Linked DNA regions of Canis lupus familiaris. The protein of the gene in region 2 purifies or fractionates together with the protein of the main gene of each other region. This does not show direct contact. Links are inferred from orthologs where the notes say so. Each region holds a gene or a part of one and is shown on either strand. Other genes may lie near its edges. The genes, in order: AJUBA, LATS2 and AMOTL2.

Evidence for each region.
Region 1: the proteins of LATS2 (region 2) and AJUBA purify together in Homo sapiens (affinity purification with western blotting; 3 studies listed by BioGRID and IntAct, with this or other methods). This does not show direct contact. The link is inferred for Canis lupus familiaris from reciprocal best matches to the Homo sapiens genes LATS2 and AJUBA.
Region 3: the proteins of LATS2 (region 2) and AMOTL2 purify together in Homo sapiens (affinity purification with western blotting; 3 studies listed by BioGRID). This does not show direct contact. The link is inferred for Canis lupus familiaris from reciprocal best matches to the Homo sapiens genes LATS2 and AMOTL2.

The regions. Positions count from the first base shown.
Region 1 is NC_049229.1:3,421,796-3,426,200, reverse strand, and holds the start of AJUBA (LIM domain-containing protein ajuba), read left to right. Parts: upstream 1-1,486; 5' UTR 1,487-1,858; coding exon 1,859-2,894; intron 2,895-4,405.
Region 2 is NC_049246.1:17,175,641-17,179,760, reverse strand, and holds the start of LATS2 (serine/threonine-protein kinase LATS2), read right to left. Parts: upstream 2,909-4,120; 5' UTR 2,778-2,908; intron 1-2,777. UniProt on the Homo sapiens protein: Negative regulator of YAP1 in the Hippo signaling pathway that plays a pivotal role in organ size control and tumor suppression by restricting proliferation and promoting apoptosis.
Region 3 is NC_049244.1:31,681,448-31,685,774, forward strand, and holds the start of AMOTL2 (angiomotin-like protein 2), read right to left. Parts: upstream 2,839-4,327; 5' UTR 2,712-2,838; intron 139-2,711; 5' UTR 78-138; coding exon 1-77. UniProt on the Homo sapiens protein: Regulates the translocation of phosphorylated SRC to peripheral cell-matrix adhesion sites. Required for proper architecture of actin filaments.

The DNA.
Region 1 (4,405 bases), on a different chromosome or scaffold from region 2:
CCCATCTGGAGACAGGAAAGGAGGGAGAGCCTTATGGTTAATTCTGAAGATGTCGCTCACAGCAGGTTCTGGATGCAACCTGATAGCTCCCCTCTGTTACTAATGCTTTCAGTGTTCCCTGCTTCTAGTCTGATAGTGAACTCTACTCTGGATCAGAGAAAAGCTGTAGGCCTGACAGGGAAAAAGAGAGGCTGATTCTCGGGAGAGATGAGGTCAGGGAGACAATGCAGTTAGGACAAAGAAGCCAAATAGTCTGTGCCAAATTAATTTCCCCAAAGATATTAACCTCCTTTGCTTCCCCATTCCCTAAGGCTAAACTAAGATTATGAAAGGTGTTCAAAATGTTGAAATGAAAATAATATGCATGGTTTGTTTGCATATAATTTTCATACTCATTTACTATCTAAATACAAAGGAATCCTTTTCCTTCTCCATTCTACCTCCTCCACCTCTTGCCCCTGATGTGCTAGTCAGGGCAAAGTCAGTTGTGCTAGTATTTAATTAGGCATGTTCAACTTCAGCCACCGTTTCTTCCTTTCCTTATTGATCTTTCTAGTATGGCCAACACTAGAAGCCTCCTCTTTCCCTTTTCCACCCTGACCATTTTCACTTGCTGGCTCTCTAAATGACATTTCTTTTCTTTCTCTTTGATACTCTTCATCACCAATCTCTTATGGGCCCACCTAGCCGGAGGCGTTCGCTAGCTCTACATCCAGGCCTTCTATCTCCATAGTCGCCTGAAACAGTTCCTAAAAAATCTCATTTCCAAACACCAGGGGGTGTCTCTATTCCTCTAGCTGTCCTACCCTGAAGATCGAGATTAGTCCCAACACTCTTCCTCACTCCTTTTACACATTCACCAAAGCTCTTTTCCTGCCTCTTCTGTCGCAGAGCTTTGGGTTCAGAGAGTGGTGTTTTCATTGCAGTTGATCTGTTGGTCTCTCATTCTGTCTGGACTTTCACAAATTTGCCTTTTTCTTGGTCTGCTCGTCCTTAGGTCTCCGCACCACCCTCTTGCCCACCCGGCTCCCCCCGGCTCCCCCTTTCTTTCGCGGTCTCCCACTGCTTCTCTACGCCGGCTTCCTCGCCCTTCTGGGCTCTTCACATACGCGTCTCTGAACCTCTTTACGTAGCTACCTCTCTCCCCGGCCCCCTCTTTACGGATCTCCCTCCTCTCTGCCACAGCGGGAACAAAGTCGCGATGCTTGCGCAGAACGAGCCCCACGTCGCCCCGTGCCCCTCCGCGCATTCCAACTGCAAACAAAGAGTTCCCCTCCCCTCCCCCACCTCCCCCGGTCCCAATTCCTGAGAGACAGAGCAGCAGCCGCCTACACCGCCCCTCGGCCGCCTCTGGCCTCCAGTCGGCGGGTCTCCACCCCAGGACGGGCAGCGCCAGCACCGCCCGCCCCCGCCGGCGTCCCGGGATCCCTGCGCAGACACCCCCTTCCTCTCGCTCTCGGCGCTCCACCCCTCCCGGAAAGTAGATCCGGCCAGGCAGACAAAAGTTTGGGAGAGAAGTTCGGTCCGTGTGGAGCGTGAGAGCGAGGGGGGCGGGGGCCGGGCAGAGCGGGGCGGCCGGGCGAGTGGACTCGGGGACAGGCAGACCGGCGGACGGGACAGCCGCGGCCGTACGCCCTTCTGGCCCCGCTTGGCTCCTGGTGCGCGGGGGGAAGCAGCCCCTCTCGCCGGGGGATGCTGCGGGATTCCCGGCGCCGGGCATCCGGGCCGCCCACTAGACCCCTGTGCCCACCCCGTGCCCCCGGGGAACCGGAGTCCGGCCGCGGGCAAAGAGAAGCGGCCGCCGAGACGCTGCAGGGTGCCGGGCGGGGAGGGGACTGGAGGCCCCTGGCCCGAGGGCATGGAGCGGTTAGGGGAGAAAGCTAGTCGCCTGCTGGAGAAGTTAAGGCTCTCGGACTCCGGCAGCGCCAAGTTCGGCCGCAGAAAGGGTGAATCCAGCCGGTCTGGGTCTGATGGGACCCCCGGGCCGGGCAAGGGGCGCCTGAGTGGGTTGGGGGCTCCTAGGAAATCAGGGCCCCGCGGAGCTACTGGGGGACCTGGGGATGAGCCGCTGGAGGCAGCCCGGGAGCAGGGCCCCCTGGACGCTGAGCGGAACCCGCGCGGCTCCTTTGAGGCGCAGCGCTACGAAGGCTCCTTCTCCGGGGGGCCGCCTCCCACCCGGGCCTTGCCTCTACCTCAGTCGTTGCCCCCCGACTTTCGGCTGGAGACCACGGCCCCAGCTCTAAGCCCCCGCTCCAGTTTCGCCAGTAGCTCAGCCAGCGACGCCAGCAAGCCGTCCAGCCCGCGGGGCAGCCTGCTGCTGGATGGGGCGGGAGCAGGCGGAGCCGGAGGTAGTCGACCCTGCAGCAACCGTACCAGCGGCATCAGCATGGGCTACGACCAGCGCCACGGCAGCCCCCTGCCCGCCGGGCCGTGCCTGTTTGGCCCACCCCTGGCTGGGGCTCCGGCGGGCTATTCCCCTGGAGGGGTGCCGTCCGCCTACCCCGAGCTCCACGCTGCCCTGGACCGACTGTGCGCTCACCGCCCCGCGGGGTTCGGCTGCCAGGAAAGCCGCCACTCCTATCCTCCGGCCCTAGGCAGCCCCGGAGCTCTAGCTGGCGCCGGAGTGGGACCCGCAGGGCCCCTGGAGAGGCGCGGGGCGCAGCCCGGACGACACTCCGTGACCGGCTACGGGGACTGTGCCGCGGGCGCCCGATACCAGGATGAGCTAACAGCGTTGCTGCGCCTGACGGTGGGCACGGGTGGGCGAGAAACCGGCGCCCGCGGGGAGCCCTCGGGGATTGAGCCGTCGGGTCTCGAGGAGCCGCCGGGTGCGTTCGCCGCAGAGGCCGCCCGGGCCCGGATGCGGGAGCCGGAGGCCAGAGAGGACTACTTCGGTGAGTGGGAGAAGTGGTTATGGACGGGACGGGACCCGTCACCGCGTCCGCTCCCCGCTGCCCGACGGCCAAACTGCCGGCGCCGGGAAGTCGGAGGCGGAGACGTGGAGCTAGAAGGAGGCAAGGGGGATTTCCCCTTCCCACCAGGTCTCAAGCGGACCCGGGGCTCCTTATTCCGGCCACACTCAACTCCCTGATTATCTCGTGAGCCCCATTTGAAGCTTCAGAGCCATCGTTTCTCGCGGCAGGAGGCCTCGTAGGGAGGGGACTAGGTGGGGAGCCAGAGCATCCCCCATCCTGCTCCCCCTCGGCGGCGGTGCCCCTGCAGGCTTCTGCGCGCCGCGCCCCCACCCGGGCCCAAGCTCCGCCCGCAGGAATTCGGGGAATGCGCGGGTGGGGGCGGGGCGGGCGGGCCGCGTGCGTGCCGGCTCCTGCCCGGGCGCTCCAGGTGCCCGCGGGCGGGGCGGGGCGGGGCGGGGCGGGGCGGGGTGGCGGGGTGCTGCTTGCTAACACGCGCCGAGCGGTGGCCGCGGTCGGGGAAATGGAGCCTGGGAAGGAGGGTGAAGCGCTCCGGGACGGAAGCAGGGACCTGCTGCGGGCTCGTCCCCATCCTGCTGGCGTGCTGCGGGCGTGGGCGTTCACGCCGAGACCTGGTGCTGTCCGCCTCGACTTTCCCCAACCTCCGGAAGTCAGGGCGTTAGCCTTGACCACCCGGACACCAGCATCCCTAGCAGGTTAACGACCCTGCGTAACTGCCAGAAATATCCTGGCCTCCAGTTTGGGCCACAACCTGCATCCAATTCCGGCTTGAAGTAGCACGTTATTTTCTGCTGCTGTTAAGGAAACCTAGTCGCTGTTTACCTTTAGGAAGTATTGATTGATGATATGCCTCAACTACCTGAGGATATTGGGATCTTTCAGGATCTTTTTAGCCAGCACCCACAGTCACCGCTTCATTATATAAAGAAATGTTAATGTGGTAGAAAGAACACAAATGGAAGGCCCAGGGCCTCTTCTCACCTTTCCCACCACCCATGTTCCTGCCCTGGACCCCATGCTCTACGCCTCTATGGCTCGAAATGCGGGTAGGGAGAGGAACCCTGCTAAAGAGGGCAGGTTGAGGCGGGGGAGGAACCCAGCCAGGGAGGGCAGGTTGAGAAGTAGCAGGGCTGCCAGGGACGGGACCCTCCTTGCCCTGTTCAACCGTGTCCTCCCATCCTAAGAGAGGAAAGCCTAGAGTAGATGATGCTTTGGTCAAGGGAGACTAAGTGACAAGATCCTTTTAGCAGTTTCCTTCTGGGGCCCATGAGAAGTGGCTGTTGAGTGGAAATAAGTCTCTTTGGGCAAGCCATCAGAGTGAAAAGGAAGAAAGGAGCTTGGACAGAATGCAGTATAATTGCAGGAAGAACCTAGGTTGTGGATATGCTGGGTTAGAGGAGGCACAGCGGACATGCCTGAGCAGTTTGTGCCTGTCTTCCCATATTGTCCAAGGCTTCCCAAAGATGGTTCTG
Region 2 (4,120 bases):
TCCAACACTACTTTGTTTGAATACGACTTCTAAAATGAAACTATAAATCAAATAACATCAGCTTTAAAAATACTGAGAGAATAGCTGGACTTAGTGAAACTGGTAGTCCAAGCAGGGCTATCTTCAAACACCAGGAGCCATTCACAGATGCTCTGTGTAATAAAGCCCTGGTTCACACAGAATCATCCACCCACCGTATGTATAATGGGAATGGCGACACCTGGACTTGTGCCACAGAGGCCCAGTTCTGTCCAGAGAAATTATTAAGCAATAGGCTTTTGTAAAAAGGAAGGAGATTCAGAGAATTTTTTGAGCTGGAAATCAGTCACTTTCAGGATTATCAAGCCCAAGCCCTTCATTCTGCTGATCAGGATATGGTGCTCCTTTTTAAAGCAGATTTACAGTCCAGACAAAGTAAATGCACGGAGTTATCTTCTGTATTTCAAGCCATTTTTTAAAAAGTCAGTAGGGAATATTGCTTAGAAATTTCATATCATAACTATGAAATAAAATATAAAAGCAACCTTTGAAAAACAGAGTTGGTCTGGTTTATCTAATACAAAGCAGAACACCCAGCCCCCTCCAAAAGCTTTCCCAAATCTTTCCTATGTGTTTATGGTGAATTTATCAGCTTCACCACCTGCCCCCCCCCCCCCCCCCCCCCCCACACACACACAGTGGGATTTAGAAGCCTAGGGCTGGCTATTTACAACACAGCATTTAAAATAACAAGGCACCTTATTGTAAAAACATTCCCCTCCCACCAAAGGAAAGTCCCTCCCATCAACCCTGTGATTTGCTAAGGAGAGAAATATGTACAGTTCCAATTTACACTTAGGTCAAAACTATTTCCAACAAGATGGAGGGAATCCTTTCCAGTTCTAAAATTCCATGATTCTAGTAATTCACCTTAGTACTTTTGCATGATGTCTTCTGCTCAGATACCATTTTAAATTACTTGACATTTTGAGATTTATTAAATGTTTAGCAATTTTAATATCAAAGGAATACTGGTGTACTCATTAAACAGTGTACTATATATCTGGATAATGAGACCAAATTTTATGAGACGCTGAATAACATATAGTGTCTTGTTAATTATAATTTAAAACAGACTTTCTTAAACAGTCTCTGCATTCTTCTCCTGGAAGATTGTTCTGTTACTACCTTATTACGACAGCTGCTAAAGAAAAAAAAGTAAAAGATACAAGGCGGCTTAGTCTCTTGATTTAGCACTCGGAAATCGTGATCCACCATGGAAGGGATTTACGCTGAGAGTCAACGATATGGAACAAGACCTACTAAGTACAAATTTCCTAATAATAAGCCACGAATTGCTTTTCTCCGTTATTAAAGGAAGGCCCCTCATCTACTAATTTAAAGTTTAAACAGGACACCTGTACAAAGACAACACACGTTTTGTGACTTTACATTCAAATTTTAGTCCATTTAAGTTTCTTAGTAAAACGTTAACATATTTGCCGAATACTTTGGGGAGAGAGCTGTTTGGCCACCGAATTTTTATCGGCCGAATGGACAGTCTCTGGCTTGAGTACCGTTGCGCGATTTTTCAAAGGCTACATTACTATTATTTTTAGAGCACCGTCACTTATATCCTACATAGCTGTGAAAATGTCAAAGTGCTCGTTTAGGATTTGTCTTTATCAATCTACAAATAAAGAAAGTATACTTCCACGGTTATGACTGCAAGAAAACAAAATACTTGTCCCTGGAAGGGGTCAGCACGTGCTGCCTGCAGCGCCGGACACGGGCCGCGGCCTCCCGGGAGCTTCGCCGGCCCGCAGGGGTCTGTCCACCTTTCCCCGCCTCCGGGGCACCGGGGGCTCGCGTCCAGCGGACGGCAGGCTCGCTCCGGGCTGGCGCCGCCGCCCAACCCCGCCAGCGGGACTTCACCCCGAGAGACGCCCGTCCTCGAGTTCCGAGGGCAGGATGCGGAGCAGTGACGGGCAGTCCGGGGTCCGGCGGGGACCCGAGCGCACGTGAGGTTGCATCAGAAAAGAGGAGCTCCGCAAAGTCGGTGAACTGGGGCGCACGGGGAGCGTGTTACGCAACGGCCGCCGCTCTCCCGGCCGCGACCCGCGAGGACCGGGGACGCGAACCTGCAGGGGTCGACGCGGGTGGGCAACGCTGCGGCTCTGCGGGCGGCGCCGTCGGGGCGGGGGGCGCGGCGGGCGGCGGACGGCGGCGCGGCCCGGCCCGGCCCGGGGGGACCACCGCACGGGGTGCGAGGGGACGACCGCACAGCACAGCCCGCGGGCGGGCCGACGGCGCGGCCTCCGGGGACGGCGGCGCAGCGGGCGCGGACCCCGGTGCTCCGGGGCCGCCAGCAGGCAGGCGCCCGGCCCCGGTCGCGGGGAGCAGCCCGGGCCGTCGCAGCGGTGCCCCCGGCGCGGACGGCCTCTCGGGCCGCCCCAGCCCCGCCGGGAGCCCGGCGCACAACAAAGCGGCGCAGCGCCGGCGGCCGGGCGCTGCCTCCCCACGGCCCCCGCTCGGCCGACTCCGGACGGCCCGCGACGACGCGCCGCCAGCGGAGGCGGCTCCGGGCCCGGGCCGGGCGGGGGCCGTGGGGGCAGGGCGAGGGCGAGGGCTCCGCTCGGGACGAACTTCCTCGGCCGCCCTGCCGAGCCCGGCGCCCCTCCCGCAGCCTCGGCCCGAGGGTGGGCGCCCCGGAGCCCCGGGGCCCCGCCGGCCCGCGGAAACTTCCAGCCGCCCCGCCCTGGCCCCGGGCCCCACGCCCCCCGCCCCTGCCCCCTCACCTCCTGGGGCGCGGTCTACACCCTCCGGGGCGTCCCGGTCCGCGGCTCCGGGGCCTCGCGCGCCGGGGGACCGGGCGCCAGTGGCTGGAGCGGCTGCTGGCCCCGCGGGCACGGGGGAGCCCCGGGCGGCGGCGGCGCGGGCGGCGGCGGCTCCATCTTCCCGGGGCGCTCACGCCGAGGTTCCAGCGCGCAGACCCAAGTGGGACATTCGCTACATTGTTGGCATTCCACGGGCGTCACGTGACCCCGCCTCCCGCGTCACCGGCGGCCGCATACCAGCCCGGGCGGGGCGCCCGCGGCCCTGCTGCTCGGCGGCCGCCCCGCCCGCCCGCCCTGCCCCGCGCCGCTTCCTGCCTCCGGGTCCCCGCCGCCCGCCCGCCCGCCCGCCCGCCGCCACCTGCCCCGGCCGCCCCGCTCCAGGGTCGCCCCTCCAGCCGCACTACTCGGAAACTTGGTAACCCCGTCCTCGAGGCATCTCACACCAGCCTCGGCTGAGAGAGTGAGTTAACAGGCCTAGAGGAGCCACCGAAGTGCCCAAGTCTGTGTCAGCTGTTACAAGTAAGGGCAGAAGAGGACAACTTCACCCGTGCGAGCAAGTAATAAAGGACGTTCAGATATATATATCCCGATTTAGTCCGTTTTCATTTAATCAAACCCCAGAGCAATGGATATTTTATGAGAAATGTTTCCTGATGTGCAGAACGAGATAGTAACGTAGACCAACGAGTGAAACTCTGAGTCGTGCATGTCCATCTGTGGGCTGTGCATGTGGTGCAAGGGCATGTGCAGGGATGGTGCGGAGATGTGAGTACAAATAATAGCTTGCAAACGAACCCCTAACCCACTACTGGACTCTCCTGGCATCATACTTCCTACCACCTGCAGTCTGCGGCAGGTGATGGTGAGGGCTAATATTGTTTTAAAAGGCAGTCCAATTTCCTTTCCTAATACACTCTTGTGAAGTTTTTTAAACTTTTTTTGTTTTGTTTTGTTTTTTAAACTTTAATCTGAAAAGAAACCGTCATGAAGGTCATTAGCTCTGGCCGTTTTAACAACCTTAGTTAGCAATCCTTGGTGGGCCATCCTATACACTTTACTCTCTAATTCCCACCCAGGCTTTCAGCCCTGCCTCTGTCTTAGCTCTGCAAGGAAATCTTCCTAGATCCCCCAACTGTTTTCTCTCCTCTTTGGGCTCTGGTAATTAAGCCGATTATTGCGGCTTAATTACCAGAAATTGAAAATTTCATTTTTCAATCTTATCCTGTGCTCTACCCAGGCATCTTGAATGGCATAAAACCCCAGTGGATATTCTGTAATCGAGTCTCTTTTGCATTCACCTGTGT
Region 3 (4,327 bases), on a different chromosome or scaffold from region 2:
GTCAGGTTGCCATAGCGCAGCTGCTCCTGGATGAGGCGGTGCAGGACCGTCCCGGAGGAGTCTTCTAGCGTCCTCATGCTTCCTTGCCTTGTACACAGCTGCCTGGACAATGGCCGGTGGCACCTGGCCCCAGGGCACCTGGGAGGAGGGAAAGAAGAGCAATTAGTGGGAGCACAGGGGAAAGAGGGCAGGGGGTGCTTTCCGTTACAGTGTGGTCCAAAGCATAATGGTGAAGAGTAAGGCTATGGGGGCGGGGGGGGGGGAGGTCACACAAGCCTGGGTTCAATTGCCAGTGCTGCCACCTACTGATTAAGGCAAATGACCTAACCCGTGAGCCTCAGTTATTCCATCGGAATAACGCTTGCCTCATGGAGGTGAAAATTAAATAAGGCGATGGCTGCTGAGTGCTGGTGCACTGTAAATCCTTGGCAGAGGGCCACCGTTACAGTCATATTCACGGAGACTTACTAAAGAAAGCCACCAGTAACCTCCAAGGTAATCCATCACCCAGCCTCTGCAGTCAGCTTCCCAGTGAAAAGGCTGAGGAGAGACTCCAGGGCAGGAGTAGTTCAGCTACAACCACTGAGCAGGCCAGTCTAGGGGTAGACAGGGCCCCAGTTCATTGGCAGGTGATAAAGAAGGAGTCCAGCCTAGTAGAAGCCCTAGGCAGACAGCCCCTAGCTCCCTCTAGAATGTAGCATGCCTGAGCCCTAGGCTTGGCACGGGTAACTCACCACCCTCTACCACCTTTACCATGCTGGGCCCTCTCTGTCACGGGATGACCTTGACGGTCACTCTGCAAGGTGAACAGGAAGGACAAAAATGCATCGGGTTTGGCAAATAATAAGGGATCAAAGGAGAAGCTACAACAGGACGATGGTTTTGTGAAATGAGGTGAAAAAGATGCCACCCGTCAAGGTTTGTGGGTCAGTCATAGTCTGTGTGCTGACAGCAACTGCATGGGTGCTCCAGGAAAAACAAAGGGCGGCACCGTGTCTTTGACTTTAGGACTGTCCCTCCTACACACGTACACTTGCTACTTGGAAAAGACCCCGATGGCCCTCTGCCACATAGAGGGTGGGCACTCAGCATTTTGCCATCGGTAACACTTATCTGAGCTAACTGGAGGAGTAGGGGAGCGAGGGAGAAGCTCTTGGTTGCAGGGACCGGAGTCTGGGGCGGGGGTGGGCTGCTGGAAGCTTCAAGAGCAGGGAGTATCTCCTGAGGAAGGTATTGCCCTCTGAGCTTGGGCTCTCAGTGGCTCATGTCCCGAGGCTGCCTGCCTCACCCAGCTTCCTTCCACAGCCTCCTCCCACACAAAACTCCTAACTAGATTCAGGGAAAACCAAACAAAACCCCTATCCCCACAGGTCTTATGTATGGGGGGAGGTCAGTGGGAAGAATGTGGTCCCTTCTCGGCCACAAAACTAGCCCCATTGCCCTGCTGCCTTTAAGGTTTGGTAGGTTGGCAGAGCAGCCAGTGCCAATCTACTCCTCCCTCCAGGCTGCCCAGAAATGAGGAGAGGGAGAGGAGTCTGGAAGGCATCTCTGTGCCCATCCTTCTTGGCACCCAATCGGCCGCCCCCTCTCCCTACACCCCGGAGGCGTGGAGATGCAAGACTCCAGAGTTACCAGAGGCAAAACAAACTGCAATCAATTCGCCCTAGAGTTTCCTCCGCGGGGCATTTCCTAAAGTAATCAGTCTGGGCTGACTCTCCAGCCGAGAATGACGGTGGGGAGCAGGGTGGGGAGAAGGGGGGGGGGGTGGCGTGCAGAGCTTTCGGGACGGGCTCCTCGTGTCCCCCCCGCAGCCGTGAGCCTGGGAGCCGGGAGCACCTCCGGGGCCCCTGTGCCGCGTTTGTCCCCGTCAGACCCCTCAGATGCACATTCTTTCGGCTGAGCCGTTACTAAAATCTGTGACCGCGACCCGGCCATGCACCTTCGCTGCACCGGCGCACCCCGGCTTCCTGAAAACCAGCGCCCCCTCCCCGGTAAGCAAACCACTCCGGCTCGCGCCGGGGCTCGGCCTCGCCTACGGAACCCACGCGAGGGTCTCTAAGGAGGCGTGCACCGCAGCAGGGATGCCGCCCTGCCCGGGCTCCCGGCCGACCGCGAGCACCCGGAGCGCGCGGGGGGGGGGGGGGGGGGCGGGGGCCGGTGGCCCAGCAAGGTCTTTAAGCGTCGCGGGTCCGCCTCCCTCCCGGCCTCCCGAGCCCTCTTTGTTTTCCGAATGCTCCAGCGCTGACGTCACCGGGCTGGCCGGCCGGCCGCATTCTTTCTAAGTGAGAGCCGTTCCGAGGCTCCAGAGAGGATTTTCCAAGGAAGACAAAGAGGAATTCTTGGACGGGTTGGGGGCAAGGACACCTGTGATCTGCCCCCAACCGGATCGGCCCCAGGGCCCGCACCTTGAACCCGCAGCGGCGCCCCTCTGCCCAGCCCACGACCCGAAGCATAAGCCCCCGCTCCCCGCAAAGGCTGCCCCCTCCCCCCGCCCCAGGGGGCCCGCGGGCCGCCCAGAGCTCGGGACGGCCCCGGGCCGCCTCTGCGCTTCCTCGCAAGGGCGCCCCGCACCCGGGGTCGCTCGCCGCGCCGCGCCGGGCTCCGGCTCCCGCTCCCGCTCCCGCTCCCGGGAAGGGCGGGCTGCGCGGGGGCTCCGGCTGCACCGTGGCTCCCGGGCCGCGCTCCCCGAGGCGCCGGGCGGCCGTCCTTACCGCTGCGGCCCGCGGGTGCTCGGCGTGGTCGGCCCGGCGCGGCTCGCCCGGCTCGGTGGCGGCGGCGGTGGCGGTGTGCACTCGGCGGCGGCGCCGACGCTCTGGCCGCCCGGGCCCCGGCGCGCAGCTCCAGGCTCGGCCCGCGCCGGAGGCGGCTGCTATGCCAGGAATGTGAGAGTTTCAGGTTCCCCCTCGGGATCAAAGCGAACCACAAATAACCTCGCAGCGCGCCGCCCTCCTCCGCCCTCCGCCGCCCTCCGCCTCCTCCCCGCCCTCCTCCCGGCCCCCGCCTTCCTCCCGGGAGGCGGTGCCGCGCGCCCCGGAGCTCGGTCCCGGAGCTCGGTCCCCGGGACGCGCGGCGCCTCCCTCCGCGGCCTCCCCACGCCACCGCCGTGGGCCCCCGGGGCTGCTGGGGACGGATTCATGCCCTCGGCCATTGCCACCCCCCCCCCCGACCCGTCCCCACCTCCACCTTGCACCCACTCCTTCAGCCCATCCGCGAAACGACACCCGGAGATGGGCAGTCGCGGGTCCCCAAGGGGTTCTGGGCTTTGCTGCAGGGAGAGGGGCCCCGTGTGTGTGTGTGTGTGTGTGTGTGTGTGTGTGTGTGTGCAAGGGGAGGAGGACTGTCAAGATGTCCACACCCGCCCGGCTTGCTTGGACTCTACCTCGGTCCGGCTCGAGTCTCCGAACCCCCACTGCTCTCACCGCCAGCGGCCACCCTTGAATTGCCCTGTTATTGTTTACAAACACCTTTGCCAGCTCTTTTAGGGCCTGTCTCCACAGGAAGTGTGAATCTGGGTTGAGAATCTTCCGGTTAATTGGAGCCACCGAACTACTTGAATCACCCGCGGGCAGGCGCTCTGTCCAACATTTCTGGAAAAAGGTAGTAATGGGCATCCCCGAATTTACGCAGGGTGCACGGTGTGCCACCACCCGCTCCTCGCCTCGTCATCCCAGGCAGTCCTCCCAAGTCATCCTCCCAGGGAATTCTGTTATCATCCCTGAGTTTAAATGAGGAAACCAAGGCCCAGGGAGGTTAATTAGCTTGCCCCAGGGTCACGCGGAGCAGAAGTGATGAAGCCAAGTAACCGATGGCTGCTCAGTTTTTTCTTTTCTCTTTTTAAATTTCAATTCAATTCAATTTACCAACATATAGTATAGCACTCAGTGCTCATCCCATGCCCTCCTTAGTGCCCATCATCCAGTTACCCGAGCCTCCTCACCCACCTCCCTCTCTGCAACCCTTTGGTTCCCAGAGTTAGGAGTCCCTCATGGTCTCCCTCTCTAACTTTTCCCCACTCAGTTTCCCGCCTCCCTTCCCTTATGGTCCCTTTCACCATTTCTTATATTCCACACATGAGTGAAACCACATGATGATTGTCCTCGGGTTGACTTATTTCACTCAGCAAAACACCCTCCAGTTCCATCCAGTTTTACTTACTTACTTTTTTTTTTTAAGATTTTATTTATTTATTCATGAGAGACACACAGAGAGAGAGAGAGAGAGAGAGAGGCAGAGACACAGGCAGAGGGAGAAGCAGGCTCCATGCAGGGAGCCCGATGTGGGACTCCATCCCAGGTCTCCAGGATCATGCCCTGGGCCGAAGGTGACG